3 linked regions of the Neodiprion lecontei genome follow. The protein of the gene in region 2 binds, or shares a complex with, the protein of the main gene of each other region. Links are inferred from orthologs where the notes say so. Each region holds a gene or a part of one and is shown on either strand. Other genes may lie near its edges. The genes, in order: iron-sulfur cluster assembly enzyme ISCU, mitochondrial; cysteine desulfurase, mitochondrial; LYR motif-containing protein 4.

What was found.
Region 1: cysteine desulfurase, mitochondrial (region 2) and iron-sulfur cluster assembly enzyme ISCU, mitochondrial share a complex: the UniProt entries of both Drosophila melanogaster proteins name them as parts of the mitochondrial core iron-sulfur cluster (ISC) assembly complex. The link is inferred for Neodiprion lecontei from reciprocal best matches to the Drosophila melanogaster genes Nfs1 and IscU.
Region 3: cysteine desulfurase, mitochondrial (region 2) and LYR motif-containing protein 4 share a complex: the UniProt entries of both Drosophila melanogaster proteins name them as parts of the mitochondrial core iron-sulfur cluster (ISC) assembly complex. The link is inferred for Neodiprion lecontei from reciprocal best matches to the Drosophila melanogaster genes Nfs1 and bcn92.

Annotation. Positions count from the first base shown.
Region 1 is NC_060263.1:33,900,509-33,911,630, forward strand, and holds iron-sulfur cluster assembly enzyme ISCU, mitochondrial, read right to left. Parts: upstream 8,253-11,122; 5' UTR 8,169-8,252; coding exon 8,079-8,168; intron 7,572-8,078; coding exon 7,347-7,571; intron 7,269-7,346; coding exon 7,190-7,268; intron 6,362-7,189; coding exon 6,267-6,361; 3' UTR 5,718-6,266; downstream 1-5,717. Other genes in the region: polycomb protein Scm, read right to left, coding at 982-1,116, 1,320-1,474, 1,615-2,148, 2,274-2,450, 2,679-3,246, 3,342-3,577, 3,689-3,973, 4,340-4,367; wee1-like protein kinase, read right to left, coding at 10,730-11,044. UniProt on the Drosophila melanogaster protein: Scaffold protein for the de novo synthesis of iron-sulfur (Fe-S) clusters within mitochondria, which is required for maturation of both mitochondrial and cytoplasmic [2Fe-2S] and [4Fe-4S] proteins.
Region 2 is NC_060264.1:23,141,935-23,153,596, reverse strand, and holds cysteine desulfurase, mitochondrial, read right to left. Parts: upstream 5,617-11,662; 5' UTR 5,587-5,616; coding exon 5,481-5,586; intron 5,398-5,480; coding exon 5,318-5,397; intron 5,136-5,317; coding exon 5,019-5,135; intron 4,955-5,018; coding exon 4,817-4,954; intron 4,554-4,816; coding exon 4,348-4,553; intron 4,246-4,347; coding exon 4,124-4,245; intron 4,062-4,123; coding exon 3,904-4,061; intron 3,642-3,903; coding exon 3,370-3,641; intron 3,289-3,369; coding exon 3,199-3,288; intron 3,100-3,198; coding exon 3,036-3,099; 3' UTR 2,867-3,035; downstream 1-2,866. Other genes in the region: ragulator complex protein LAMTOR4 homolog, read left to right, coding at 1,045-1,116, 1,194-1,442; GTP-binding protein YPT6, read left to right, coding at 1,843-2,022, 2,170-2,414, 2,502-2,700; uncharacterized protein LOC107224137, read left to right, coding at 7,037-7,152, 7,229-7,398, 7,478-7,726, 7,792-7,952, 8,045-8,134, 8,229-9,290. UniProt on the Drosophila melanogaster protein: Catalyzes the removal of elemental sulfur from cysteine to produce alanine. It supplies the inorganic sulfur for iron-sulfur (Fe-S) clusters.
Region 3 is NC_060262.1:37,511,652-37,521,586, reverse strand, and holds LYR motif-containing protein 4, read left to right. Parts: upstream 1-6,141; 5' UTR 6,142-6,171; exon of another isoform or gene 6,172-6,214; intron 6,215-6,299; 5' UTR 6,300-6,337; coding exon 6,338-6,420; intron 6,421-6,811; coding exon 6,812-7,004; 3' UTR 7,005-7,148; downstream 7,149-9,935. Other genes in the region: probable phospholipid-transporting ATPase IIB, read left to right, coding at 1-548, 633-1,049, 1,159-1,324, 1,432-1,810, 1,893-2,133, 2,214-2,380, 2,466-2,669, 2,907-3,040; probable phenylalanine--tRNA ligase, mitochondrial, read right to left, coding at 4,074-4,364, 4,476-4,768, 4,872-5,593, 6,038-6,141. UniProt on the Drosophila melanogaster protein: Stabilizing factor of the core iron-sulfur cluster (ISC) assembly complex that regulates the stability and cysteine desulfurase activity of Nfs1 and participates in the [2Fe-2S] clusters assembly on the scaffolding protein IscU.

The sequences.
Region 1 (11,122 bases), on a different chromosome or scaffold from region 2:
CTAAGCTTACTTTTTTGTCGATTGAAGAAACACTGGTAGTACACCGTACGTTACATTGTATTGTTAGCAACTAAAATTGTATTCATGTACTCGGATGGTTTACTCTCCACTTTCGAACTTCTGAAACACATTTTATGCAGTCAGGATCGATTGTTGATAAATTTATTACTTTGTCCCTCATAAAATATGAAAGCAAAGTGAATGAAGAGAAAATATATCATGCAAACATGACCTGCTAATTAGAAATATAAAATTAAAATATCAACCTTTTATGGCTATCTCTATGTGCAGGCAAGCAGATCTGTTCCGTAAAATACAAATATGTCATGTTATTTTCTAGTCCCATCTCTAAAACTTTCATCATTTGCAGACGAATTTTACCTGACACTAGTACACAATAATGAACCGAAGTTATTACATGTGTGAAATTAAATCGTTGATTTTTTTACTTTCTATGAAGCAGATAGATACCATATAGATAAATGGTTTGCAATCATACATTTTTTTCTCTTCCTTGTTACTAATCATTTGCAACCAATTCGTGGTGTGTAACATGCCAAAATAATAATCATGGATATAATGACTCTCTGTACAACACAATCCGCCTACCGTGTTGTTACGTGCGTCTCCATTGTAACATTATAAAATTATTTATATCTATTAGCAAGTATTATTAATTAAATTATGACGAATTGTACTATACATGCAGTAGAGCCATTTCTATATTTTCTCCAGGAAAATTATTTTATATCTTTCTGAAACTTGTGATAATAAAAACTCAATCGAACTGATACTCATATGAGAAGAGTAAAATACATATGCACTGCATGAAGGAACTTTGTAGAAAGAAATCGGTCAAGTTCTATGCATTGATATATCGATTAAATACAATCGCTAGTAATTGAAGAGTTGATTATTAGACTCAAATGTAAATAATCATTGTTATTCTAAATCTTATCTGTCTTTATGTGCTTGATTAGGTCACAGCATCAGATGTCTTCTACCTTTAATACGATTTACAAGGTTGCAAATTTTTAGTGCTGGACCCAACTTCAAACCCATGTACTTCATCATCATGTCTGAGTTCAGAAGCAGCAGCGCCTTACCATCAATTTCCTGTCAAAGATTAAAATTTTTGACACGAATAATAATGTAATTGAAGCTTTCCATACAAGAGAAACGTTACCATATGTTTATGTGAACAATAGTAGAATTGCACTGGTATAGTTTGATCTTTTCATTGTGATTATTAAGGTATGGTTGGAAAAGGGTTACTATTTACTATATTATGAATAATACAAGATTTCACTGAAACTTACATGTTTCCTGAATAGATCTGCATGTTGGCCTAATGCAGGATCCGTCGCAGCTATGTATTGAATGACATCCTCTATAGTCCACTCAGCAGGCTCTGAAGAAGAGATTCTGCTAGCTGGACTTTCAGATTGTGTTGTCGATGTGGCTGCTTCTAATTCTGAAATAAAAGCTAAGCTATTTCTCAACTATACTTTGACAAAGGTTGAATTTGATCACACCTAATCCAGAAATTCTTGAGGATCTATTTGTGGATCTAGTTCCCTTAAAATCGGAAATCAATGTCTTGGCAATTCTTACCAAGGACCGGCTTTCTCGGTTGTTTGGCTGCTGTGGGTGAGGTTGGTATGTTTGTAGAAACAGGGCCAGGACTGGATTGGAGGGGTGGTGCGGTGGTTGTGGGATTTTGTTGGCTATCGGAGGACCATCTCCGTTTCTCAGCTGTGCCATTAGACTCGTCCCTTTTGTTGGATGGCGATTGCTGTACAGGACATTTTGTACACTGTTCCTTTCGCCTGAAGAGCATATGTTCACAGGCACACACATCTTCGAGTTGTCTTCTGATGTATGTGTAAAAATCTTCTTCTTCTAAAAACACTGGTAACCTCACAGATGTTGGTTTGCTTTCAAGCGTCAGATTAATGCACTCTCCTTCACCCCGTTTCAACAAACTTAGCATTTGTCTGGGGCTGATCGCTGCCATTAACAGGGCTTGAAAAATGTCTCTTGTCACGCTTAGCATTGGTCCTGAACCAAACTGAGCGGGCATAGCTTTCACTTTACGAGGATCAAAATAAGGACCAGATGAACAATTGTGATTCACAAACATCGTTACTGTAACAAAAGATATACACATTTCAGGACACAAATTTCGCATCAATGTCAGATACTTCTGATACTCCATTGAATCTTCAAGCTCGAAAATGATGGTTACATCATTGTTCAAAAGGTTATCATACCATTTTCAAATTGACGAGTTTTGGTATTTGCCGTGCTTGTATCTGGTTCTGTCGCCGGTTGCGGAGGTACGCTCGATCCGGCTGGGCTGACTAAGGCTACTGCTGGTTCTCCCCCTGACACAGTAAGCACTGGCAAGACATTACTTGTCCTCGATTTGAATCTGTTTTGTCCAGTTGCTATAGTAAAAATATGAATATTAACACATCGATCCAGAGTAATTTAATTACGATAGTACTTCCGTGGTTGTTCAAAACCATCCAACTTATAAATTTTGTCATGCAAGAAATAATTTATTTTTATTTATTATCTAATCATGATGGATCACAATATTTCTGTTTAAAATTTAAAAAATACTTTCACAACTGTGTATCTGTATCAGAAAAATTAAATTTAATTGGGCTTACATTTTTGCCTCGGTGGCTGTAGCGGATGTCCGCTTTTAAAGCACCAGCCTGCAGGAAATATATCCCGAGAATCGTAACGGCACCAGTAATCAAAAGCACCTCTCCATCCATCGAAAGTTATGTGAATAATGTCATCCTTTACAGCGCCAACAGTTGCTGTGCATATAAGTTGTGGATTTTTCTTATCAATAGCTTCGAGCTTGTACCCAACTTCGAAGAGATTGGAACGTGGATCTTTTGGTTCCCGTTTAAAAACTTTAGCTGGTGCCATTTCAGCGCCATTAAGCGTTTTCAAAAGAAACATTGGCCAGCTAGATGCATTCATCCGGAAACCTAGCGGTGGTTGTAACATTCCCCCAGATTTTTCGCAGTGACCAATCGGATGTATTTCATTGCTATCTACCAAGCGCCAAAAATCGTTTTTGTTATCCGAACCATCGAGTCGCAATCTTAATCTCGGCCCCAAGACTCCAACTACTGTTGCGATGCATGTAGAAGTCAAGTTGCGAGGGTCCAGTGCCTCAAGTTTCATTCCCATTTTAAATTCATTTGTTGGCGGAACTTCGTGCTGCCATTTTACAGGGAAATATCAATTTAATCAATGGGTAGATTTTATACTGTGCAAAAAAGGAAACTAAAATAGAAGATGAAAACAAGTAGTACCTGTTTAAAGCAATCAATAGGTGCAGCCACACTGTTGGTCTCTTTGAGATATAATTCCCAATCAAACGTTTGGTACGTCTCATACTGGAAAGGACCAGATGATGTTGAAGGAGGCTGAGATACAGTTGGTTGACTATTGGTGCCGGTATAAGATTGCGTTGTCGAAGGGATGCTACTTCCACTAGGGAGGCCAGAAGGTGCAGGAGAGGCTGCAGGAGATGGTTGCTCACCATTGTCTATATTTAAAGACACATAGATTATATATTGTGATAATATATTATGAGAAATAACATTATCGCCATAACAGTAAACATCAATGAGTCTATTGATCTAGGATTATTACTAACTTTTTCTTGATTCACTCTCTTTTTTTTGATGCTTATTAAGACAGAAAGAAGAGCAAAAATCCTTGATTGGAGTATCACGCTGTTCCAGTCTGACTGGAGTCCCTCTAATCACATTATCGCACTGCACGCAGGCCCCTCTGATGTAGGCTTTGCGATACTCGGATAAACAAGTTTCTGAACAAAACTCTTTTTTTCCATGCTGTGTCGGCAGTACGTATTTCAACGGCTGCTTTGTTTCTCCGCACCAAGTGCAGGAACTCTTTGGTTTAGGTGGTCGACCTGGGCCTAAGTTGAAATATTAACTTTAAATAGGTCTGCAAAAACTACATGATGTGATTGTTCAGTCATAAATCTGATTGTTTGAAGTTATTTTACAAAATACATCGTTGACACATCTTTCTTTTCAAATCAATGATGCCGAAATATCGTTACGATTTATCTTTCATGTATGGAAGATCATTTAGAAGGTATTAATTTCAAGGTAGTAATAATTCAATATAACGATAGAGATTTACACACTTATTTAATGTAAAAGTACAGATATATAGCATTTGAATAATCTTGCGATTTTAATTGAAGAATAAAAAAAAAAAGACATTAGAAGTGAAAGACGAGGTTATTTACGTATTATAACCGTGCGATATATCATACCTCGCATCTTCCCTTGGTTAGCAGACATCCTGGCCGGTAGTAATTTGGCTAATAATATAAGCCAGAAACAAAACTAACCACCATGAATGATTTATGCAACCAACTAACAATGACACCTACAATCAAAAGAATTTGCATCCATTAACGATACACATTTTGGCATCTAGAGAATGCCCCCTGAGCGCGGAAAATTGTTCCCGGGTTGAAAATAATACCGGCTCGGTTGGGATCGCGCAGTATAATTATATAAATATTATCGATCCGCATTAAGCATTGATTACGTAGGACGTTTGACGATTATAATTCCTACTGTATTTACGTAGTTTTCATTCTGATAATATTATACACCCACAAGCACAGAGTCTACTGTCAACGCCGCCATATTGCTTTTATATAGTCGCGCGCGGTGTCTCTTGGAACCAAATCCTGTCCGATCCGAACTCGCGCCGAATGCCGCCACGGTGTAAAAATTAAGAGATACCTAGTCCGTCCGACTGCTCTATTATACTCCCGACAGAGACTCTACTAGTCTCTGCTCCCGATGCAAGGCTCTGTGATTGTTGTTTTACTAAAGTCCCCTGTCTCTCCGCCACGTGTATCCTTTGGTGTCACAATAGATGATTGTGAAAACATATTTTTCCTGTATCTTTATTTCGAACCTGTTTGATCACTTTGTTTCTGGTCACGGAGTTCGTGAACGGGTTGTTCATTTGCTCTGGTGCAATTTTAGATTACTCCGTTGATACATTAAAATAAAATGGGAAAGTTCCGCTATGTACCTGACTGCCAGTACGGGTATCGGCATTCGGAAACACCAGTATCGTTAGTTGGCGTTCCCGAAGATCATAATTTATTTATAAAGTGGTATTAACGGGTTGTATGTTAAACGTCAACTTTTGCGCGGATACAAATTGTTCTGAAAGACGATTTAAATTTTTGCGGGCGGTGGTTTTTCGGCCTATGCGACACCTGGACTCGGCTGGTGAACTTTGGTAAAATAATCACAGCATCCAGCACGAGTCGGACCACTTATTCTTATACTGTGACCAGCACCAGGCTGAGTTTCTAGAGTGGGAAGGAACATGGGTCAATGCTTAGGCTAAAGAGAGACTGATGATTTTAGCCAGCGACGAGCCCGTCGTTGATTGTCATCACCTCTCGCAAATATGGCATAATAGCGCCATTCAATTATCTTACCGCCCGCATGTATCTATTGAACCGACGCGAGTTCGGGGGACATTAGCATTCTCGAGAGTTAGAGGATTAATTTTTACTCTCCTCAAGATTGTACTTATCCTGTACTAATTTGAGAGTATGCACATTAAAGTTTTACGCACATTATAAGTAACGGGAATTGAGGGCATAGATATACCCAAAATGCTTGAACGCCACTTTTATTACTTCAGTAGAATTTTTCCGATCTGCTATTATATGTATAATATACTTTAATAAAATATAAATTTCCATGAAAAATAGGATCACAAGGTAATTATCACTATGATATATCGTGAACCTGCATAACCGCAAGCTTTATAAACCCGAACAATAAATATTATGCGTACTAAAATATAATTTCAATTATTTTGGATACAAGTGAATACTATATATACATATGTAAGTTTATATGTATATACATACATGTATAAGTCAGTTGGAGAAATTTAATTTGAAATTAAACGACGTACTTACGTTCGATCAGAATCTCACTCTTATAAACTTGATCATACATGTAACTATTATAGATTCTGTATTCATCATCCAAGATTGTACTACAGCAGATAGCTACAGTAAAGAATATTAGACGTTCAATTTAAACGTTGACTAATTTGGATTGCAAGATATGATGCAATATACTATTTTTCGCCAACTATGACCTATAAAGTTTGTTTTCCTGCTTGGTGCTGTTTATACTTCTAGGTATGCAACTCTAAACTTCATTACTGCCAGATGCTGTTTTGGCTTTTGGTTGCTGCTTAATGCGGTAATCAGAAAGTGCTGCCTTGATTGCATCCTCTGCAAGCACTGAAATAAGGATTTTTTAAATTTTATAGTAATTTACATGCCTACGAATGCAAGTTAAAAAAAAGTTTAAAATGGATTTTTAAAAACTGGATTTGGAAATATTGCCTTGAATTTCTGATATAGAATAAAAATTATAGTTTTTACCAAGTCTACTTTACTAAATTACCAGCTAGCTACTGAAAAACCATAGCACTTGGATTTTGGTACATGAAATATTAATTATTAATTTTTCATGCCAGCAACCCAGTTACATTTCTGATTCGTCATACAAATCTTATCTTTAACCTTTCATTACTCGCACTTTGAGCGTGACTTTAGCCTTTAGACAAAAATCCCAATATATGTAACTATATGAGTAACTGTGACTTCATACTTTACTACTTTTTTCTTTGAAATGTTTACTATAGTTGGATATACTCATAATTGATAACTATTTAATGTATAAGAAAAGTATATTAATGTTCAATAAGATCGTGAAATAGTAGCACAGTGCTCATTACACGAGTTAAATCATTGATTCAATTTTTCCGACCACGTTGCCAGAGCTGACTTGGAACATCTCAGCTGACAGTAAAGATGGTCGATACACACAGTGTGCTTATATACTCTTAGATTTAAAAGAAATTATGTTCGATACATATATTTTCAAAATAATCAAATAAGCTGTTTAATGAAAAGATTTCATTACTATATTGTGACGTGGCAATGTCCCATTTCATTTAACATAGGTGGCAGAGTGCTGTCCGCACAATGAAATTCGTTGTGCAAGCAAGTGCCACTAACGAAAGGTTAACAATGCTATTATCAATCTAATGGGCTAAAACTTACTCGAACAATGTAGCTTGACTGGTGGAAGGCAAAGTTCCTTTGCAATGTCAGTGTTCTTTAGCTCCAATGCTTGGTCAACCTGATTACAAATATTAATAGTGATTAGCGATGTTTAAAGTATAATGCACACACAGGATTAATCGAAGCATGAACTTACCGTTTTACCCTTAACCCATTCAGTAGCAAGAGAGCTAGAGGCGATAGCTGATCCGCAGCCAAATGTCTTGAATTTAGCATCAGTGATTTTTCCATTTTCATCAACTTTTATTTGAAGTTTCATGACATCGCCACATGCCGGAGCTCCTACAAGGCCAGTTCCCACATGTTTGTCATTTTTATCAAGAGAACCAACATTCCTCGGATTTTCATAGTGGTCTAGCACCTGGATAATATTGTAACAACGGGGGAAATTAAGAAAGGACTGAGAATCAATGGGTTCACTGCGCGAATTGAGCGAACGCCGAGCCAAAGAAGTCTCACAAAACGAGGAATATTTTAGAAAGAAAGTGGATGTATTTGGTCAGGAAGTTCTCTTTTTAAAGTCCAGAGACTGACTGTTTTCACAATAATATTTGTTGACCAGCAACCCTATTCATTTTAAGACATATGAAAGCTTTCAGTTTAAGATGACTACTAGATCATTAGAAAGCCGATAACACGGGTGATTGATGATTTCACCCTTTACAACAATATTGGGACATATACAGTTTGTGATATACGAAAAAGTTAAGAAGTAAACAAGTCCGACGTTTTGAAAATACAATCTGAAACTAACAATGTCCGAACTTTACGAGATAAAAAAAATTTATACAGATTTTTTTTACTGTTACGCAAAATGTCAAATAGTGAATCGGACATTACGGTAGGTTATCAGGTATGAAATACTTACATTGACATGATATGACACAACGGGTACACTTCGGGATAGAACACTTGCCGCATCCGTAAATTTTTTCGGCAAAACACGAAGTAAAGACATGGTTGTTAAATATCAACTTGCCTTGATGATTTGCGGTTGTCGTTTAAGGAACAGCTCAGACGAGCGTCTAGAACAATTCTGAACGAGACGCAGTGCGCGTCGGCACCTCGTGAGCGCCCTGCGCATTCCGTTGACGGCACAGTCATGGACATAGCTGCAGTCAACGCTGTCAACTCACATTTCGCGGGAAATTCGAAATTAGACCAGACCCAATAGAGCGTTTTCGCGTCTTCAGTCACCGCAATAGAGCGTTATCGCGACTGGAGATATATACCATATGTGTAGTATGCATGCCTGTACATCTTCAGTCAACGTCATGATTTATTATTTCGATATCAATGTATGTATGTACAATACTTATTGGTGAATGGCGCATGGAATGCAAATTTAGTCAGAATCTAAAATTTATCACGGAGAATCTAACTCGCTTTATCTCGTTGGTTAATTGTAAACAACTTCGCAGATTTCTAGTTTCATAGTTATATTTCGTTTTCAAACGGAAATTACAACAAAACCTTATCTTTGTAATTGAGTGTATTCGTTAGTAACTGAATTACGGTACGCGTTTTCACATTCGGCGATGATTTTGTTACTAATTTGGTACACCAAATTATACATACTTTCATATTATAAATGACTTTAATAGGGGTGGATGCACGTAATGTACGATTGTATACTATACAACTAGTGTGTAAAATGTGATTTCACGCACATGTTTCGTAATTTATTTTTTGACATGGTATGCGTAAACTTCAAGTTTTCGCACTGGTGTTGGTGCGTAAAATGACACTTTTCAATACAGTGCGAAAGATGCAATTAAAATGCTTAAAATCGGATAATTTTATACGTACTGTGTCAAAAGAATAAATAAACAAAAAAAAAAAACAAAAACAAAAATTGATAGCCTTTGTGTCATGGATATGGCAATGACATATATTTTTAAAGTGATGAGAAATGATTTTATTATAAATATAGCGTAGTATATTTGAATACGTTTAAGATAAACGAGCATGGATATGCAGTACTAGCGTCAATATTAGATGTCAGAAATTTTAACTCTATTACTTCTGATGCAATAACTAGATACAATATAGTAATTTTCGTGGGTATAAGAACAATTCTGGGCAGTGATTATTTACAAGATGACGAATTTTTACGTGTAACTGTGAAAATTCGGTTACCGTGGTATATACATTAATTTACGGAAAATTCGTGCGAAAGTTATGTTTCTAAAATATTCTGTAAGGTTTGTAGCTAATTATCTATTAGTTCGGTCATGTTTTTCGCGTTCTGTCTTATTTCCATTCTTAACAAAAAGCTGTCAGCTGCACGATATGGCAGAAAACAAATAATATTCATGCATCTGATTTTAAAATCAACATATTTGTAACTGAAATACTGTTCTACGTAGTTATTGGAAGAATAGGCACCAACTGTTGCAGGTTTTAAATATTAAATCACGTTTTTTCGAGTAATTCATACTAGTGTATACACGTCTCATAAGTTATAACAATAATAAACAGGAGTTGCCATTTGAAGGAACTACAATATCGGTAAATAGAAAAATGAAATTTGAACCTAGTAACTCAAACGTAACTAGAGACTAAAAATAACATATTTTGCTCCTAACGTTTAGTTTAATTATTCAACATCTATTCTATGTGAAACATATAATAGAGTACATGTAGTGTGATAAGATATTTGATGCATACTGAAAAAGGTACTCATTAAGATTATTAAAAAATAATTCAGCGTGATAAAAAAATAAAGTTTCAGTTCAGAAAATATACTGCACTTCACTCCACATATCTAATAGCGTGAGTATACTTTTACTATTGTGTAGCATGCAGAGTCAAATTTCTATATACGACAATGGGTTACCACAAGAGGCAGAATTTGTTTACGATGTTTTCAGCACACACAAAAAAGGAATAGAATAAACATGATTTTAGCAACCAAATTATAACTTAAAAAGTGATAAGGAGAAAATAATGATCCTTTCACTTTATCTGGCCACCCAAACAAATTTCCACGAAAAATGCCAGCATTTCAATGATCCTGCGAATAGTGCTGTCTGTGCAGGGTATTTATATCTTATTCATCTGTTATTTAAACTCGTTACCGGTAAAGATTTTGCCACGGTAACGTCTCTATATCTGTTTTTGGGATACTAATTTAAAAAAAAAAAATAAGCAATGACAAAGCACGATTTGAAGCAAAAATAGAGCACATAGATCTAATTTTTACGCATGTTAGTACAGAAAAATATTTGTCAACCACGACATAGTTTCAATTCCCTAAAAATTTTCTTTTACCCCGTAAATTATACGACTTATTACCTTGTCATATCAGTCATATAGCTAAACTTCAAAATAAATATACGGCAATGCATTTTACTCTACGCACCGAATTTTGTTTTGTTTAAAGTTTATTACATTTCGACTTACGTACTAAGTTTACTTGCATATCACAACATCAATGCATCGCCTGGTATTACACCTGTCTTTGGGATGCGTTGACTTTTTTCCCTCTCCTCTAATAAATAAACAAATCGTTAGGTATTAAAAGATAGTTGCGCTGTTGCTACGGTTGACCTTTTTCCCAACAGTTCGAGATGAGGTTCTAGTCGGTGTAGGCCTTAGCCTATAGCCTCCAAGATTAGTTGTAGTATTCATAGCAGTCATATTGGGCGCTAGTGTCTTCAGGCACTTAGCAGCTTCTTGGAGTTGTTTCGACAGGATTCCATTCTTCAATTTTTCTGCATTCAACTCCCGCCTAAGTTGTGCTTTAGTTTTTTTTCCAAAAGGACATAGGACTCTGTGTTGAATCAGCGTTACTGCTGACGGCCGCATCTCAGGCTTCGGATGAATCATAAGCTGCAATGATAAGGACCTCGTAAATTAAAATATTGAAAATATACAAATGGGTGATAAATTTCTGAATATCCGGGCACT
Region 2 (11,662 bases):
TCGACCGGGTTCCCGAGATGTGTTATCTCTCGCGGAAAGTTGTGTACCCCAGGGACCTTTGGACGCGCTCCCCGGGTCCGAAGAGTACAATAAACCAACGGTTTATTGTCATTGACGGGTCAATTGATGCCACCCCTACATAAAATTGATAGCGAATTCTAGACGTTAACAGTATTGCTGACACGCGCCATTCTTTTAACGGGAGTTGGTTACGCAATCGATTGCCGCCTAGAGCGGCCAGCCGTCGAGTCAATCGGCCGAAGCCCGAGAGGCAATGTAACAGCGGTGGCATCCGCCATAAAATATCGGACTAATAACAGCTGCCCTCCAGGCTATCTACATAATTACGGTTCGCAATATTTTTTCATTTTGCCCCGAAATATCCGAAATATGTACTGCACATGCATTAAAGGTACTGTGTGGTGTTATTTAAAAGGCGGGCTGAATTAGCAATTTCTGTGAGTGTCATGCGTGATAATAACGTCTTGTTAATGCCTCAGAATAAATGAGATATTTATTTTCAAAGTCAAAACAAGGATGAAACTACGACATTTGCTACACTGATATGTAATGATATTTATGTCTCATTTGTAAACCACTGACCTCTACTTGTATGCTAGAGATCAGTGATGTAAACTCAGTGGTTTACTACAGAAAATCATACCGCGAACTTCACAGAGTTCGGCCATTTTCAGCACTCATTAGCTAGAGGAGCTAGAGAGTAAATTTGAGACCAAACTACAGGAGAGTGGATTACAGCGCCACGGTGAACAAACGATAAATGATATCTCCAGATTTCCAAGTTTTGTCAGTTGGCTACATTGAAGTCTAAGCAGGCAGAAAACAAGAGCAGAAAAATACATCGCGCTGCATCGCGCTGGCTACCGCGTTGTATTTTAGACTATCGCCACACGTCAAACCACAGGTTTTGTGTGTTGACAGGTGACACTTCCTCGCAAGGACAATTTTGATACTCGGCTCCCCAGTGCTTACGTTAAATTTTACCATTCTGCAATATACAAACATCCGCTAGGTTATTTGAAGATGTTGTCGATGGAGAGAATACCTGAGCAAATCGGTTATTTGGTATTAAAAGAGGACGGGGCGGTACTCACGGTATGACAACGCGATACAAGTCGAGAGCTTCATCATTGTTTACTTTTGTTTTTTTTTTTTCACTGCTGTCATTTCAGTCGGGTGGAGAGCTGGAAAACGACGAGAGAATTGCAAACATTATCATGAGCCTGATCACTCTGACCGACACGATCGATCCCAAGGCGTTTGCGTCCGATGAAACATTCAACAAAATATCCATAACCTACGAAGATCACTGCTACGTCATATGCCTGTCAAACAAGAAGGTTCACATTGTTAAGAAGAAGATAACCGCGTTGACCTCATCTCAAGAACAGCAGCAGCAGCACCTGCCAGTGATTGCTTGATGAGTCAAATATTGCTTATCGAAATAATTACAAGGAACATATGTTAAGTTGAAATATAAAAATGAGACATGTAATAAAGCAAAGATCGCAAATGTGAACGGTAGCAAGTTTCCTAGCTTTTTTGCTAGTGGTTCTGTTCATTGCACCTAATCGACTAATTATAGATGTAGTTGGACACCGAGGGTGATTCTTCGGTTTTTAGGCAGTCTGCGCCATCTATGAGCTTAGCAAAACGTCTATGACTGAACAAAGATGCTGCAATCTGCGCGAATATTTTTTAATTATCACGAATATGCATATGTACGCATGCATAAATGTGTGTAGTTATAATCGGTAATAATACGCGTGGGAAATATAACCCGTTAAACAATGATCGGTAGTATTGTTTAGATGTAAACAAATGGCCACCATCAAGGTAACCGAACAAAAGGTGATTTTATGTGGCGAATACGGGGTCGGGAAAAGTTCGATATTTAGGCGATTCGCGAACAATACCTTCGTCTCAAACAATGATAGAAAATCGACCTTGGGACTGGACAATATCAACAAACAGTACACCATTGACGAAAAAACGATTCGCGTAAGTAGCACATTTGCCTGTTACGTTCAGTTATTTTCACGCGTGCAAGTGCAGCTTTAAATTTATTGTGTCGGACAAGTATATTCATTTACACCTGTCAATTTTGGCTAATTTTCTACAACGTCGAGGGTGGTCCTGACTTTCCAGCTGCAGTTATGGGACACAGGAGGAATGGAGAGGGTTGCCTCTATAACATCCAGTTACTACAAATTTGCAGAGGCGGCAATATTGGTCTTTTCGCTTGACAATCCGACCTCCTTTCACCTCCTCTCACAGCACCTTCTTGACATTGTAACTTACGCGGAAAACGCTAAGATATTCCTTTGCGGGAACAAGAGCGACTTGGAAAGCGTTGATCCTCAGGTCACAGATGTGGAAATGGAACAATTCTGGTAAGAGAAATAATCTATTCACATCGTAATTATATGTTGAGAATTAAAGCAATAAGTTCATTGACAGTCGTAACTTTTGTTTCCCAGTGAACAGTGTCACAATTTGATATCGGCGACGTACAAAACGTCGTGTAAAACGGGGCACGGGGTTGATGAAATGTTTGAAGATATTGCACGCCATTTGGTCGAGGCAAACAGATCGCGTATGGAACTGCACGATATGGACAAGGACCACTTCAAAATCACAAGTTCCGACGAAATCGACGAGCCATCCTGCTTGTGCTAATTTTGATTCAGCTTTTAATGCCCAGAACACGTTTCTCTAGTCAACTCAAGAGGAAACGGATTTCAATTTAAAAATGCATGATTTATGTCATGACAAACGCTGGCTGAGCATATATTAATATTATAATAATTTATTGACGGAGGATGAATGATGTGTGGCGATTTGATAAATTTTCAAAATAAAAATTTATTCATTTATCATAAACTCTTATACTACTATGCAGCGAATGCAATGTTGAAATCTGGAAACTTGAAATCTCACTAAGCTAGTCATAATTTACTATGTATCACTTAACAAATAATCCGTGTACAAAGCCCTTTTTGAGTAGGAACTGTTCAGTGCTGCGTCCATTTGATTGACTTGATATCGATACCCTCTTGTACCATTTCCCACAGTGGACTGGCAGGAGGAAGAGAAAACAGAATTATATCAATTTTACAAGCAAACAAAACTTTTGCTAGAGTTTCAATTTTGACATCGAGCGCATAAAACACATACCTCATCTCTCTGAGTCGAATAACGTGGCGTATGATGTTATGCGCTGTGTAATCGACTTCTTCACGAGTTGTGAAACGACCAATTCCAAACCTGAAATGCACAGTAATTTGCCATTGTCAGCATTTATATGTCAGATATCCTAGTTTGCAAAAATTGTACATTCACGCCTACCTTATACTGGAATGTGCCAGGTCTTCGGCAGCTCCAATGGCACGTAAGACGTAGCTTGGCTCTAGACTGGCGCTCGTGCAAGCTGAGCCGCTGCTCAACGCCACATCTTTCAAAGCCATCAGCAATGACTCTCCCTCGACAAAAGCAAAAGAGAGATTCACGCAGCCAGGATACCAGGCAACTTCATCACCGTTACGCACCACATTCGTTAAACTGCCCATTATTTTTTGTATCAAATGCTGGGAAAGATCTTCTATATACTTGTGGTCATACTGTAAACGTGGAGAAGAACACAAGTATTAATCCAGATAATTTTCAGTTCAAATTGAAGATGATACTTAACACCAGATACTATCAAACTGACGTAAAAATGTAATTTCTTTTGAAATCAGAGACTGATGAAATTCCTGGAAATTTTCTGAAATTTCCTTGTAAAGTAATAATCTCATGACATTTTCAGGTTTTCCCAATTTTCTGTAATGCTGGACACTTTACAGTGAAGCATATGGAAAGTTGAGAAAGTGTTGTACTAACAGCCATTTCCTTTTGTGCGAGCTCGCAAGCAGCCCCCAGCCCAACCACCAGAGGTGCTGGCACCGTTCCACTTCTCATGCCTCTTTCCTGACCCCCGCCACTTTGAAGGGCTTCGACACGAACCCTTGGCCTACGCCTGACGTAGAGTGCTCCTATGCCTGAAACATTAGTTGAGATGCATGGATATTTTGAAAAATTTCTCGATCTCTTTATGCACTACCTTTTGGCCCGTACAACTTATGACCACTGATCGACATGAGATCTATGTTCATCGCGTTCACGTTGATCGGAATTTTTCCTACAGCTTGCGCAGCATCTGTGTGAAAGAAAACTTTCTTCCTTCTGCAATATCAACAAATATGATAATCTGTTCACTGCTCAATACTTAACGCTTTTATCTTTGTCTTGTTCTGAAACTTAAAATATATTTTACAGTATAACAACCTGCATAGAGCTCCAATCTCTGCAATTGGCTGTTGGACACCAATTTCGTTGTTCACAGTCATTATCGAAACAAGTGATGTGTCAGGCCTCAGAGCAGCTTCAAGTTGGTCTATGTCGATTAATCCATTGGGTTTGACAGGGAGGTATGTGACATTGAATCCTTCAGCTTGCAAAGCTCTGCAGGAGTCCAAAACGCACTTGTGTTCCTATGTAAAAAGAACAAGTTGAGAGACCTCAATACTTCTCATCAAATGCCCGTGGCTTCATACTTCATTATGTTTTACAAATATTTCCATTCTGGTCTCCAATTAATTTTATTTCAAGCATACAATATATTTGAAACGGAATGTAATCACAAAATTAGAAACAAACTACGTAAGCCAACATCAATGATTATTTCACAGTGAAAACATTATCAAATGGAGCATCAAATAGTTTACATCGTATCCAATTTTCCTTTTCAACTCACAGTTTGTGTCGTTACAACGTGCTTTTTCTTTTCCTTGTAAAATCTAGCCACACCCTTGACAGATATATTATTGCACTCCGTGGCCCCAGACGTGAATATAATTTCCTTCGGATCAGCTCCTATCAGATCAGCAACTTGCTACAAGAGAAATTGAAAGAGGATAGAATATAAAGCACTTAGAGAAAACGAGATCCTTACTAACTTTCCGACCACGCTCAACAGCTGCCTCTGTTTCCCATCCATACATGTGAGTCCTGGAATGCGGATTGCCGTAGTATGTTGTCATGTACGGCATCATCTGGTCCAGCACACGTGGGTCCTGAAATGAGAATCGACGTATCAGTTGACACCCAGATGTACTAATACTGATTAAAACAAGTTAGCGAAGTTTAGCGATTGAAATTTTTCCAAACAAACCGTTATTAAAACAAAATACGTTTATACAATCACAAGTGTGAGATTAAGAATAATTTTAGTTCCGTTCGAGAGGTGGATAATTACCAATGGTGTAGTGGCCTGGGCATCCAGATACAAGGGCCGACCCTCCGCTGGACCCTTTTTGTACTCATCACTGATGGGAGCTGGAAAAAAACGATTTTTAACAAGTAGTTAGGCGCAATTGCATAATTTGTAGTAAAATCTTTCGTTTACTAGTTCAGCGTACATTCGAATTCTTTGACAGCCGCGTAGTGTCGCTTGGGCGACGAAATCACTTCGTTGACGTGGTGATCGCGCGCAAGAGGCACGAGTCGTTTCCACAAACGAAACATTCTTTCGTTTGATCGGCCTTCTTCAGTCGTGCGACATTTACTCAATCAGTTGGCCGGTCGCGCGCTCAAAAAAAGGAGGAATTTGGGTTAGGAATCTCGATGCGAAGGCAGAGGAAACTGTACGGATCTAATCAAGATCTTGAATCTCGAGAGTCGAGAGCTAGGCGTACGCAGGATCACCGATCAATTGGTGCCGCGACGAAAAGAGATTAGTTGGAATGAAGTGAAGTGAAGTGCGGTTAACCTGAAAGAGCGTCGGTAACCCTGATAGAACAGCTCCTGCTCGTAACTGCGGTTCTGTTTGCCTCTCACCAATCGGAAACTCGTCCCCTCGGCCTCGATCAGCCGTCAATGGCGCGAAAAACTCCGTGCAGGATGTTTGTTAAGATTGTCATTTGCTAATTGCACTTTACACGTACGAATTTGTGATAAAAATTTGATGCGACGCAGAGACGTTTAGAGTTAACAGGTACAGTGCGTTGTTTGGATAGATTCAACTATGCGCGCATGAGCTGTGCCAAAGTGACCAATATGCATCCAATATGTGAAATCATCTTTCAGTATTCTTCTTTTCCTCTGATGGTTACCGTTTTAGAGTAGTCATTGTTAAGAGTGCCCTGGTCGATTTTGATGTTGACTTATATATTTGCAAACATCGAAGTCCACGTATCTCAAACGCAAAAACGAGCTCAACATCCCGATTCTATACGCGATTCTGTACAAAAACACTTTTATACATTTGCATTTAACGCAGAAATAAAGAATTGGCATGGATTCTATGAAATCACTATAGTAAATAAAATTTGTAGAATTCATACCCTTTGAAATGACCGTTGACATAAAACGTTCATAAAAAAATTTTTAATCTGATCAACGCTGATTAGGGTCACCGTTTTTAAAACGTCAATAGTCTCCAGTCAACGACAGTCTTCAATGAGTCAACGAAATTACACAGCCTTTATAAATCAGTTAAAATAATTTACCAAGTAAAACTCTTGTTCGAAACATTCATTTACCTTCGTCTCATTTACGTGTTATGTTACTCTTCTGGATTTGTTTTGAAAATGCCGCGTCAATTTCTCATCTGTACTGCTCTGTGACAGCCGTGGTAGCAGACTGAACTAAAAGTACGCGTGCTTTTTGTTTGTGTCAACAGTACCGACCCTGTGCCGACGCCCGCGAGAGTGTAATCCTGATTTTCCTGAATTTTCCCCGCACTGTATTATCACAAATCTTAACGATTTCTTCAACAATGCTATTCGTAACTGTGTAAAATCACCCTTAGGTCGTACTGTATTGCGATTCTTGCCCAAAGTTGAACTTAAAATTAGGTTTGCTTATATTATTGTCGATACATAACCTAAAATTCGACTCATCCTCTCACAAATTTTAGCGATTTTAGCTACATGGTTCGTGGATCACTTCTTGTGTTCTCTTAGATTTCAGCCTCATGATGATGGATGCCGCGATTGAAACAGAGGAGGTGATAGAAAAACCACCGGTTAGCGTGCCAGTCGTCAGAGTTCCCGTCAAGCACACCAACCTCGGCATCAGAAGTCACGCAATGTAAGCTAATTATTGGTCAACCCGTAACTCATCACTTCCGTGCCAAATATCAGATATCACATGTTTCATTCTGCAGGGACATGAGCACAATGGTTGAACTGACGTCGTTCAGTTCCCTTGGGAAAATTCAGCCATTTCTTGTCACTCTCTCCACAACTGCAGCGCTCATCGTCGACCTGCATTGCCATCTCAAGGACAAGGAGGTGTGTGGTTATCTTGGGGGGCATTGGGACATTAATGCTCACAGTGAGGTTCAGTTCCTAACACATATTTGTAGACAACATTGAAAATTGCGGGTTTTTATTAAGGATCTTGATGCCCATAGATTTGACAATAAACTACGCGTTTCCATGCCGATGTAATGGGAAAGACAAAACTGCAGCTGCAGCAACTGAGGCTGAAATTGCACGAGCCATGGAATGGAAGCATCTCACGTTGGTAGGATGGTATCATTCCCATCCTAGGACGCACGCGTCGCCGTCGCTCCGCGATGTCGATTCTCAACTAGACTATCAGATAAAGATGAAAGGACTGAGTGACAATAGTTACACACCATGTGTCGGGCTTATCTGCTGTGAGTTTCGTTGTTTGCGTTTTGGTCATCCCAACAGTCTTAAATTTTTGGCTCACTTTTCGCAGCTCCGTATAACACAGATAATAACTGCTACGAGTCAAACTTCAACTTCTTTTGGTCGCTCCCTCCACCGGAAAATCGGCCTCACGAGTACCCGAGACCAATGCTGCTCAGCTACACCCTGTCCCAGGAACAATTCCTTTCTCAGGAAGCTATTGATGAAATTGTAAGATGTTCAGCACTGAATTTCAATGCCGTAGTTAGCGACTGTGCAGCAGTTCAGGTATCTACTATAATGGCTGGTTTTTAATTTTTCAGAAAAAATGTGTCGAGTATTACAAAAATGACGGCTGTGTCGACTTCAAAGGAATCTTTAACGGTTCTGTGACGTATTTGGAAAAATTGAAGGCAAGTATGCGACGCGTGCAAAAACTTTGTGTATTGAGAATTATGAAAAGTAAATCAGTGCTAGATAACATTTTTGTATCATTCTTTTTCGTAGAGCTCATTGGAGTCAAAACTACCGAGGAACCAGTCAAACGGATCGTACTGGGACGCCATCAGAGAAATCGTTGCACCTGGAATGGAGGATCCGCCAACGACAACGCAAGCATCGAGCATAGCGGGAAATTCGGATATATTTTCGAATGTCAAGTTCCCGTTGGTGCCTGACCCCATGGGCCGTTCTGGCATCAATCCTAACAATCTTTTCCTCACTCCCGTAAACTTTAAACTAGACTCTAGCGTCTCCATACTAAAGCCGTTCAACGTGCCGTCGACTTCGAAGGACAAAAACGACACCCTTGAAGCCACCAAAGGGCAGAAATTCGACTTACCGATGCCGGATATGAATCTCAATGCGAAGCACAAGTTGCCGGCTGAATTCACATCCGGTGAACTGACCGTTTCCGTAAAGAATTCCAAACCAGACTACGATTTCTCAACCGCGGACTTTTCCAAGGTTAGCAATCTCCTGTCGAGCGATTCCAGCTCCCACGGTGCCGGCAAGAACAGGATTCCTGAATTCCCACTCGCCGATATATCGCAGCTGAGCAAATTCTCGGACCTTTCGAAGCTGGCCAACTTTTCAACCAGTGATTTGGCCAAACTGTCGGGTTTCTCAATAAACGACATTGCCAAGACGTCCCCAGCCTACGCCTGCAACCTAGCCAACCTGTTCAACCCCCTCGGTGGCAAGGCCCAGGACGTGACAGTGATCGACGTTAACAAGACTACCGAATTTCCCATATCCGAATTCATCTCTTCCGACATCTCGTTTAAGCCCTCTGACGTCGTCAAGGGTCTTGTCGCAATGTCGACCGTCGATACAAAACTCACTGTCAGTGAATTGCCCGTCGGTGAACAGAAGAAGAACCCCGACTCCGGGGACTCGTCGAAGTCAACCAGAAACGATTACTCTATGGACGACGTTTCCATCGCGAATGTAAAGTCCGATTTTGGTACTATGCTGGACATGACGGTGCACGGCATGAAGCAGCAATCTGGCGGCAATGACTGCCCGGACTCTTTGAATTTGAGCATAGATCATCAGTCGGGAAAGTGATGGAAGGGTGAGGGGAGGGAGCGAGGATCGTAGATCGATCACGTCGAGGCTCGTTTCACGTTGTAAATCGGTACTGCTACTTACTTTAACGAATACGGTATAAGATATAGGTCTTATAGGTTTCACCATGACTAATTGAACTGAAACTCAAATCGTAGGCTGTAGTAATTTATTGGACCAGGCATACACAACAAAGCGATGTAATCTCTCAAATTTCCCCATTATTCTGGGTGGGAATATTATCATATGTACTCCCACGGTCACTGCATCTGTAGCTCCTGGGATGGGCAACCGAAGATACATAGCAATTTAGGTGAGAAATTCTGTGCGAAATTAAACGTGTAACTTCGTTGCCTATCTCGGGGACGACAGCTACCGTGACCGTGATTGTACCTAAGTAAACATAACACGATTGTTGCGGATGGGATGCTTCCGGCGATTTTAACGGACGTAGTTATTCTGAAACATTACTATTTAGAACCATGACTTTATTACCGTGAATAAAAACCATTTTTATATCTAAAACTATCTTTTCGATGGGTGTCATCTTTGCTTTTGATATTATAGATTTTTTGTTTTATGTACCCGTATTTCCTGCCGCCTTGTGATTCGCTACTCGCATCGCACTCCGTCGTGTCTGTTGCCTAATCTTAGGCACTTTTGCAAAGATCCTTGAAGGAATGAAAATGATCTACACTAGATCATATAATTTTGCAATCTAGATTTGGAATATTACTGAAAAGCGCTTTAATGTTTATACCTGATATATAATATAGTCTCCTTAATCAAAGAGACTATACATGTTCCAGACATTCTAGATATGATTGCAGTATTGCAGGTAACTTAGAATAATATGTTACTAATAGTTGACCCTTTCGGTACGCACGCATTCTACGTCACACCGTCCCCGCTGACCGAGCAGTCGTGGCAAGCGTACAGTCACCGCTCAGACAGAGCGAGCGTCGCACGTTGGGTGACTATAGTCACCGCTCAGGCCGAAAGGGTTAATTAGCTGGTGAAAAATGCAATTTTCAGGATCACCTTGCGAGTGGAGAATATACGTGAATTGGAATTGCAGAAACTCCCGCGGGATCGCAATTGCATCCCCCTGTCTGAAGATCCGTTACGAAAAGGCTGCAGCCATATGGTAGGAATGCGGTGCTCTCGCGGATCTATATATCGCAATCGGAGAGTGTAACTATAATATCTACATATTATATATATACATACACATGTGATACAAACTTTCCGAAGTATGTGACATTTGCTTTGCGACAGGGCCACGGCATCCCCGCTCCCTTCTCTTCCCTTCTCTCACTATCCATAAGTCGGTCTGCTCTTTCTGATATAACAGATCTTTCGAATGACGTCGCGTCCAATCGGATACCGAGCTCACCTTCGTGAAAGTATACGGTGGCCCTGCCGCCCGGGATCTATGGCCAGTCTCTGGCCAGTGGCCCCCAGCACACAAACCTTTAATCCTCGCGCGTTCTTCGTCCGCGATTTGCCTTCATACTGCTTTCACCGCGGTAATGCGATACGTATATGCGGAGAAAATACAATTCCATGCAATTTTAATTACCACCGCATCATTGTGCCCCTTCCCATTGTTCATGTATAGCTGATGAACCTGAGGAAGGGTGACAAAGTGTTATCAGTGCAAAACAAGAAGCTACCCAGTCAGATCCGGGATATCGGGATGTCCGACGTTCGAGTTTAACCACTCTGCTGGATCACTTGCAGATAACATCGCGGAGCGAAAGGTGCGTGCGAGAAATCATTTTCGTATTCCTCGATACGACTTAAGTCGAAAATCGTCTAAAGACTTCCGATGTAGAGAACTTCGCGACTCTGCAGATGAGGTTAATTAATGATAACATTTTTTTTAACCAAACGATGTCTTAGCAAGGAATTTTGAGCCGAAAAATATCGAATCTAAAAAGCCCAAACTGATATGTATAATGTTTCATAATTTATGTTTTCGAGAACACGTTATAGATCCGCAGATTTGCGGAGAATGTTAATATGTAGCTCACGTTACCTTGGGCTCACCGGATAGCGGTAGTTTTTAACGCTGACAGACGAATTGACTGTACAAATTTAAAATCTAAAGACATCTTGAGGCCTCGAAGTCTCAGCGGAAACAGTTTAGTTAAAATTAGGCTATTGGGCAACGAATTTTGGTCAACTTTTCACTTCGTCGCATGTTGTCTGGGTTGTTTACCTAATCAAGACAGCTGGAAATTCCACTCGACGGTTGTCTTCCCGCGTACGTCTAGGTATGGAATCATGCTCTGGTCTACTTTCTAACACACCAGGTGACTCCTTAAGGCAGCGAGCGGATCAAACAGCGGATGTAGCGTGCAGTGTTT
Region 3 (9,935 bases), on a different chromosome or scaffold from region 2:
GTAATGATGTGTTTGAAGGGTTTCAACGGCCCTTGGTACCGCTACATGTTCCGTTTCGTATTGCTGTTCTCATACATAATCCCTATAAGTTTGCGAGTAAACTTGGACATGGGCAAGACATTTTACGCTTGGTGTATTCAAAGAGATAGAGAAATAGCAGGCACAGTTGTCAGAACGACAACGATCCCTGAAGAACTGGGCAGAATATCGTATTTGCTTAGCGACAAGACGGGAACATTAACACAAAATATAATGGTTTTCAAAAAATTGCATTTGGGAACAGTATCGTATGGTCAAGAAACGTTCGACGAAGTTACTTCTGTATTGAAAGCTTACTATTCGACACCAAGCTCTGAAAATTCTCCAATAAGAGTATCCACTATGTCTTATGGTGGTAAAGTCAGAAGATCTGAAAGCACAAGAATTTACGAAGCTGTCCACGCCCTAGCACTTTGCCACAATGTTACGCCAGTTTACGACGATTCAACTGTTACTAACAATTTGGATACAGTAAGCGTAGAAACTGGAGATACAGGATCTATTCAAAGGTATGAGTATAGACACATTATTGTTTTGTTATGTTTCTAGTTCTGAAAGTGCCGAGGTGATAACGAATCACTTTTTATTCACAGCCAAACGGAAGCTGATCAACACTATTATCCGGCGGAGCAAAAACCGAGTTACCAAGCCTCGAGTCCAGATGAAGTCGCATTGGTGAAATGGACCGAAGAAGTTGGTTTGGGTCTTGTAAAACGTGACTTAGTATCTATGCAGTTGAAGGCACCAAATGGACAGGTTTTGAATTACCAAATTTTGCAATCTTTTCCTTTCACATCTGAGACGAAAAGGATGGGTATCATTGTCAGAGAGGAAGCCAGTGGCGAAACGGTGTTTTATTTGAAAGGCGCTGATGTTGTTATGTCGGGAATAGTACAATACAATGATTGGCTCGAGGAAGAATGTGGAAACATGGCCAGAGAGGGACTGAGAACTTTGGTTGTCGCTAAAAAGACTCTCACAGAAGAACAATATCTCGATTTTGAAGCTAGGTATTCAATTCCAATCTACTTGCAATTATATAAAACATGGGCTTTCGTTATTCTATGGACCAGTCATGTAGGGAGTGTCCGCATCACTCTGAACATTAACGTTTTCCAGGTACAATGCAGCACGAATGTGCGTCAGTGACAGAGCTTCCAGAGTTACCGCAGTTATAGAAAGTCTCGAAAGGGAAATGGAACTTTTGTGTGTAACAGGCGTTGAAGATAAGCTCCAAGATCGAGTAAGGCCTACTTTGGAGCTGCTAAGAAATGCAGGAATCAAGGTACAAGTGTATTGCCATTCTGATTGTGCCAGAAAAAATTCTAACGACATTGTTTAAACTGTGATGAGTGAAACAAAATGGAGGGTCACACTCTTTCAACTTTTCAGATATGGATGTTGACAGGGGATAAATTGGAAACAGCAACGTGCATAGCAAAGTCTTCCCGACTAGTTTCGCGAACTCAAGGACTTCACGTATTCAAGTCCGTTGTGACAAGAACAGACGCACATTTAGAACTGAATACTTTTAGGAAAAAGCAAGATTGCGCGCTTGTTATCAGCGGAGATTCTCTCGAAGTGTGTCTTCAGTACTATGAGAATGAATTTCTGGAATTGGCATGTGGCTCGCCAGCCGTCGTCTGCTGTCGATGTTCACCAACGCAAAAAGCCGAAGTTGTTACGCTCATACAACAGCACACTGGCAAAAGAACTGCAGCAGTTGGTGACGGTGGAAACGACGTTTCAATGATACAAGCAGCGGATGCTGGTGAGGATGTTACTTTGTAAATCGTTAATATATTTTTAGCTTATGACAAGCTTGGACTAATTGATATTTTCATTTTTTGCAGGCATCGGCTTGGAGGGTTTAGAAGGACGTCAGGCATCTTTAGCTGCTGATTTTTCGATTCCTCAATTTAGTCATCTCTCTACATTGTTACTCGTTCATGGCAGACGAAGTTACAAGCGATCTGCTGCTCTGAGTCAATTCGTCATCCATCGTGGCTTGATCATTTCTACAATGCAGGCTGTGTTTTCAGCGGTTTTTTATTTGTCGTCTGTGGCGTTGTATCAGGGATTCTTAATGGTTGGGTAAGTATTCAAAATCAATACCCCAAAATTATTGATTGATTACGGTGGCAGAGAAACATTCAATTTGGTCTTGTTTTCAGCTACGCAACGATTTACACGATGTTCCCAGTGTTTTCATTGGTATTGGATAAGGACGTATCCGAAAAAATTGCACTTACCTATCCAGAGCTTTATAAAGATCTTAGCAAAGGACGTTGTCTGTCTTATAAAACATTCTTTACGTGGATTTTGATCAGTATATATCAAGGTAAAATACTGTTTATAATCCTTTTCACGCTGTACACTGCTGCTACTGATTTAAGTATGTGACTATTTTTTCAATAAAATTTTAGGGGGAGTGATAATGTATGGTGCCCTCATCATGTTCGAAGATGAATTCATCCACATTGTGGCTATTAGCTTTTCGGCGTTGGTATTAACAGAATTGATCATGGTGGCCTTGACTGTTCGAACCTGGCACAAAATTATGGTTCTTGCTGAAATTTTATCTTTGGGGTTATATTTGTTATCCTTGGTCGTGTTGAAGGATTATTTCGGTAAGTAAAAATTAATCATTTTGACAGTTTTCATCAAAGACAATAGTTATTTTTGTAATTTTGTCAATAGTCTTGCACACTAATGTCTTGGCACACTAATATATTTTTCATCTAGAAGTTAGTATTGGAGTTGCGATCACACCCCATTTCATTACTATACTTACTAAATTCTTAATACTAGCACAATATTTCTTTTCACGTGTGCTATAATAATGACAAAAATTTACTTTTATACAGATGCCGAATTCATAAAAACCACAGATTTCCTTTGGAAAGTACTAGTGATAACGTTGGTCTCGTGTATGCCGTTGTACATTTTGAAATTTTTGAGAAAAAAGTTTTCACCACCGAGTTATACAAAGTTGACTTAAAGTTTAATGTGATAAAATTTGACCAGAGGATATGCGTAATCAAGATAAACTATACCCTGAAGGATCAATTATCTAATAATAAATTGTCACAAAAAATTACTGATTACCTAAAATATTATACACATGATATATTAAGCATCAACGCATTTTACGGCACTCACGTAAATTAAAAACGAGGTCTAGGCAAACTCACTCGACACAAACTTATGGGCCTTGTCTCAATCATTCAAACCGGGACACTGTAATTAATGATTTCCGTGGAAACACTAGATTTTTATTACATCCAAGCATAAATGGTCTTTTACTACAGACGAGGTAAAACTTTTCCAGTTGGACAGATCTCTTGTGTATGTCAATATACTCCGAATGAAGAATGCAAACAGCAAAGCTTGAAAGCTGCTTTGAAACTGTAGTGGTTTATTTTCTAATAATACAATGCTAACACATTTTTTTATGCTGCCGTTTTATAAGTTACCTGATCAAAAAAAAAGTTGTAATTCAGACAGTTATTGGCATTGCCCTATGAATATTAATCAAGGCAGTCAAGAGGATTTTGAAATATTCTGCATTAGTTAATAGGTATATTTTAAAAAGCTTTGTGATTCATTGCAAGGTTTGCCTAATAGGCCTGCTTTGCTTATATTTCTGATAATTTAATCTTCAAACGAGACAAATAGTTTATTAAACGTCGCATACTAGACTCAAAAATTAAATTTTAATTGCTCTGCATACCATTAGAGTCGTGAGATATAAACATATATTTTTTCCTGAGAAAAATTTTTGTGATCATGTTATAGAGACATTTAAAAGTATACACAGAAACGATGACTAAAATAAGATTGATAACTAATTATAAATATACATGTATACATGCATACATATGTTATTATATAATCTGTTTTTAGTTAATTTATGCGAAATAAAATAATATATTAATTACTTTAATATCCTTATCAAAGTACTAAGAATGGTTGACAGGGTACAGTTTTAACACAGCGTTCTGTAAGTAAACATGATTTATTAATATTTCAAATTACCTAATCTCAACATTGAATTTATCCTGAACAGCTCTTCCGATTTTCCGGTGAATAGTATTAACTTCGAATTTTGTCAAAGTGCGTTCCATGTGTCTATATGTAATTTTATAACAATGTGACCTGCGGTTATTTTTCGGATGAACAAAATCATCTATCAATGCGACTTGCTCGATAATATCCCCTCCAATATCCCTGACTATTTCGAAAAAATCGTTTGGCGTGAACTCAGTTTCGTTTGGCAGCCAGAAACTTATATCACTTGAGGATGGTGGATAGATACTGACTCGCTGAAAAATATCATTTATTAGTTATATCTCAACCCTTAGCAACCGAACAAATAGAAGAAACAGATTAATATTTAAATTCATTCAAGACGAAATCAAACTTCTGTACATTACCTTGTATACAATTCGTGAGTGGTAATCCTCGACTTTAAATTGGTTCAAAAAACCAGGATCTTCACTCCAAAACAGCCTGATGTCTGGTATAGAGTAGAACAACATAGCAAGACGTTCCAAGCCAGCACCAAATGCCCATCCTATACGATCTGCAGCTCCAGATTTCTGCAAAATTTCTTGCCGTACTATACCACATCCTAGGACCTCTAGCCATTCATCATGCTTCAAAATTTCCAACTCCCAAGATGGGTGAGTGAATGGAAAGTATTCGTCAACCCATCGATATTCAACATCTATGAAAATGAATGACACGTTATAACATATGGATGAAGTGGTAATTTTCAAACTATTCCAGTACGAAGGAGCAGACAAAAAATGACTACAATTTAGATGCACCTTGACCGAAGAAACTCTTTACTAATCCGACTAGAACGGTTTTTAATTCATGTTCCATAATTTTTGTTGCTTCCAAAGTATGGCACCCTTGTTTATCAGGACTGTCCGATTCCCTGTGCTCAAATATCCTCAAGTTTTTAGAGTCCTCTACATTCTGAAATATCTCATCTTGTGTCCGAAGTCTCACACCATCCACTTGATGAAATACAGGATAATGTGTCGAGTTAATATCATCTCTTCGATAAACGTCACCGATGATTAAGAAGTTGTTCAGACCCATCAAAATTAGTTCTGCTTGATGAGCCGTTGTATGAGCTCTGAGTAAAGTTTCAGAGTTGACATAATAGCAATCAGTTTTACTTCGACTGGGATGATCTTTTGGTACAAGCAGCGAGTCAAAATTTTGTTCGACCGTGACAATTGGTCTCAGATTATCATGGACACTGAATAATGGATTGCCCACTTTATTTGGATAGGCTTTGTAAAAATAATCTGCGATCCGTTGTCTTATGAGTGACAACGGATGATCAGGTTTTAGATGTAAGTTTTTTCCAGGATATTGGGATATCCTTTTTGTCACATTTGTCCATTCGTCTATTGGGTATTTCTGATCGAGAAGTTCAAGTTTCTTTCCCTTTTTCACCAGTTTCGATGCAAGGGAGTATTTTCTAGCAGGCGATATCCACACGCAGGCATGACGTATGGTTTTCAGCATGCTGTATCTGTAGTTTATTATAAAAATTATGTTACTTTATCGTTCTACGAAATATGCGATGAATACTTGGGCAAAAAATGTTTAATTTTTCTAAAAAAAAAGTTACAAAGAACACGTGTATCCACTGTCATTCAATTCTATAATCACATAGAGCAATCGGTTTCGGAAATTTTCTCTGAATGAGTACCTTAACAACTGTGTATGAGAAATCATCTTTAATCAATTACTGAGACAACACCGAGAGTCACCGGTAATATTTACAAGTACGTATTTAAAACTAAAATAAGGTTAGATTATATAAACCAACGAGTGCATCAGGTATGCGTCTCACAGTCTTCTCACATAATATCTAAGAAAATTCCAATTGAAATTTACTACGGTGAATATTTCACACAATTAATATAAAAATTCTTTTACAATGTGAAATTAGGGTTAGGTTAATTGTTGTTACTTTTTAAAGGCCCCTCTAGATGGCCTGCCATCGTACACACCTGAGTTTTCACTAGATCGAGAGAAAGAGTGGGAAGAGTTACGTTTTTCACCTACAACTTCCATTCAATGTCTTCAAGCTCTCTCTACCACCAGGTGTAGCATTGTTGGCTTTATATCCGTTTAAGATAATATATTATTATTGAGAGTCTTTGGTCTGCATAATTTTCCAGAGATCATTGTGTCAATTTTCGACTTTGTATAATTTCTTACCATGTTGGCAGAACTGGCTATCGAGTGATTTGTTTAGCTGCCAGGAATCATGGCTGTCGCCCGTGAAATGATCGTCAACCTCTACCGAAATTTGATCAGAGAAAGCAAGAAATGGGATTCATACAATTACAGGCAAGTACAAAATATCTATCTAAATACGTAGAGGTGGTAGGGCTTGATATTCATTCTCTTTCGTCCGCTAAGAGCCTCGATCAATGTCGGCACGCATGGTTCGGCTTACGCAACGTAGTAGGTCGAGTGACTTTCTACTTGACAACCACGTGCATCCGGCACTGCTTGAGAAACTTGTTAAAACAATTCTTATAAATTTGTTACAGTGTCAACGCGCCAAATAAACCTTGTTCGAGAGCTAAATCAATTTTGTTTGAAATGACTTAACTCTTACAATTAATAGAATGTTCTCGCGTACGGTTTTTCGATTGTTATCGTCACGTGACATAGCATCGCCTCTGCCGACAGACAAGGTGATTTTAATAATCGCGTATTTAATCTTGTATTTCAGAATGTACGCACTTAGGAAAATCCGTCATGAATTCAGAGAAAACAAATTGCTCCAGGACGCAGAGAAAATAAAAGAAAGTTACAACTACGGACTGACGAATTTGGATATGATCAGAAGACAAGTGACGATCGGGAATCTCTACAGCACTCGCCAGCTCGTGATAGAAACAACACCTACGCAAAAAGCGCTGTAAATTTAATCATTGGATAATGCAACGGTACGAATAATTGTTATTATTTAATATCGTTCAGTGAATTGTGTAAAGGACTTTTATTGTTGATCAGTTCGTTTATTAGTACTAAGCCGGTAAATTATAAATAAAAATCAGTCATCTCTGTCTGCTCATGTATTGTATGGCCCTGCTCTCAGAACAATCGTATATCTTAAAGTATGCAACTTCGATAATCTACAATCTCCAAAAACACAAGACTGCCAATTTCAGAATCTGTGCATTGTACGTACGTTTTATTTACATTCGAAATACAAAATGCACGACGACTTCCGAGCATCGCGATTAATGCTCCGCCATGTCGCATGTAATCACGTAATCATACGACCAGAATGCTAATTATTCGATAATCTTTTTCGAACCCGTTCGACGGTCGAAATTATTTCCGAATAACTTGGTAAATAGTATGAGAAGTACGTCAAACATCTTGTACACAATATATCTAATCATATCTCCACACGAAGAATCGAGTGAGGTTACTTATACGAGTAACGATTACCGGTCTAGATTGCTACAAAGACAACGGTATCATAATTATCAAATAAGGGCGGTACTCGCATGAAGAACACTTTGTAAACAGTAAGATATGACGAACAGTTTCTGGTTTTCGGATTCGGACGGAGCTATGTTTATTCTCTTACGAGCCACGGTCGCGACAGGCGAGAGACGATTCGCTCCGTTGCCCTAGACGGCTTCAAGTGTAAACACAGCGAATATTCTTACTCTCAGAAACATCGCGATGATGCAGGATCCTGTGCATTTATCCGACATCTCAACACGTTACTTTCGTGATTTCGTTGCCGCTTGCATGCATCATTTACTTTTAACCGCGTACCGCGAAATAATACATATGTTTCTCCTGATCTTAACAATTTTTAATTGAGCGATGTGAAGTTTTTTCAAGTGCGTGTTATTTAACTTGTTGTAATTTTCATTTGCTACAGTAAAACAGTGTAAATGCTTCGTTTTTGGAGGCTTAGAAAAAATGTCTGACGTCGATTGAGATTTCAATTATTCCAAACGTCAAGAAGAGTGAAAGAAGCTTGACGGTACAATCAACTCGAACTACGAAAATTTTAGGTATCATCGGTCGCGGACATTCTGCCGATGGTGTGATAGGTAAGTCGCTTTAAGATTCTTCTAATTCAATCATGACTGCGTCCTGTACCTGTAAAAAAGTGCGTTGCGCTGATGCTGTTTCGTTTATCGAACAATTAAGTTATTTGTGTGCGGGAAAAAAAATGTAATATCTGGACACGCAAATTTGTTACAGACCGTGCCTAATAACAGGCAATTTAATTGACAGACCGCTCTTAGCGTTTTACTAACATAGTTTCACTCACAATCAGTAAACATAGCGTATTGGTAAAACGATTTGCTACCTTACGTACTGCCTGATTTATTGGTAGTGTAGCATGCATCGCTACAGTGATGTCCTATTTTACCGACTACTGATAATATCATCTGTCAATGATGGTTAAACAGATGACAACACCGTCATCACTGGTTTGTTTCTTCTCATACCCGGTGTTGCTAAGACGATTCAAATCTATGTAAATGAATGAACACCATAGTTTCACACTTGAGATCACTGACCATCACTGACAGTTATTAACAGCGCTCAGATGCAATCGGACGGGTTGCACAGTTAAGGTTACTGTGAATTCTGCGAGTTTTCCAAGAACCCTAAATTTAACGATTCATTTTTGCGAAGTATCGTTATTTCGCAACTTGAGATTTGTTGGAAATTTAGTAAACTATTGATATAATTCAGGAAAATACAAACATATTTTGGAAATTTAATTCGTTTACAGTAATTCAAAAAAAGCAAAAAAAGTGATATTTTTCTTACATTTTCCATTACATTAGCCTTATTGACTTCAACCTCGTGGTTAGCACCGACACAATTTTAATTTGCGAAATTCACTCGTAAAATTTTGCTGAGGTTATTGATTAAGTGGAATAAAGACGCACAAAAAAGTATATGATTCGCTATGCAACAATCGATGAATTGTTGGTATGTGATGAATAATTTGCTGCAGATACGCGAGTAAAAATTATTCCGCGGGTTCGGTTTTTTGGCTAAGCTCGTCACGCAAATTCTCTGTAGAAATGACGGCAATCTTTGCTTTTGGACTAACCACTGGAATACATAGCTACTTATTCTATGCCGCCTTAGTTAGATTTTTTCTTTATAAAAATTTAAGCTCCAGAACATTTCAAGTGTAGTTTCTCTCTCCAATGCGGTTACGCTAAAGTATAGAATATCCATGCTGGTTTATTATGATCTAATTTGTATGATAAATAATTAAAAAACAATCTTGAAGCTTACCCATGGACTTTACGTAAGAATATGACAATTTTCGAGATGGGTTTAACTGTCAAGATTGTGATTTGTATTTATTAGTGAGTTTTCTTTCGTTTGTAAATGCGAATATGGTGAAAACGACGGGGAAAACATTGAAATAAAACGATGGTTGGCATGTGTCATAACGATGGAAGCATGAAAATTGGTCACAGCCACGCAGTGCATTTGGTAATATTTCGCGTAAAGCGACCAAGGTGTGGGTATAAAATGAACCTAAAAAGTTGAACGAAAGCTACCAACCCCTCTCAAGCTTCCTCAAGATGTCTGCGCCTCGCTTGCGCCTAACGCGCCCAGCAAAAACTTCGTAATGAGCGAAACGAGCCAAGCTAAGGGGTGATGTTTGCAAATCATTAGTCTGCCGTCGAAAGCGCCTCCCAAGTTAAGGGGAAGGAAGCCCTACGAACATGAATGAAGAGGGTTGTGTGAGTGAGGAGGATGAACGAGGAGGGTTGAAGTCGAAGCAGCACGAGGACCACTGACGTCTTGTTTGCCTACGTACCGTAGGATTATTCGCTTCCGTGAAGAAG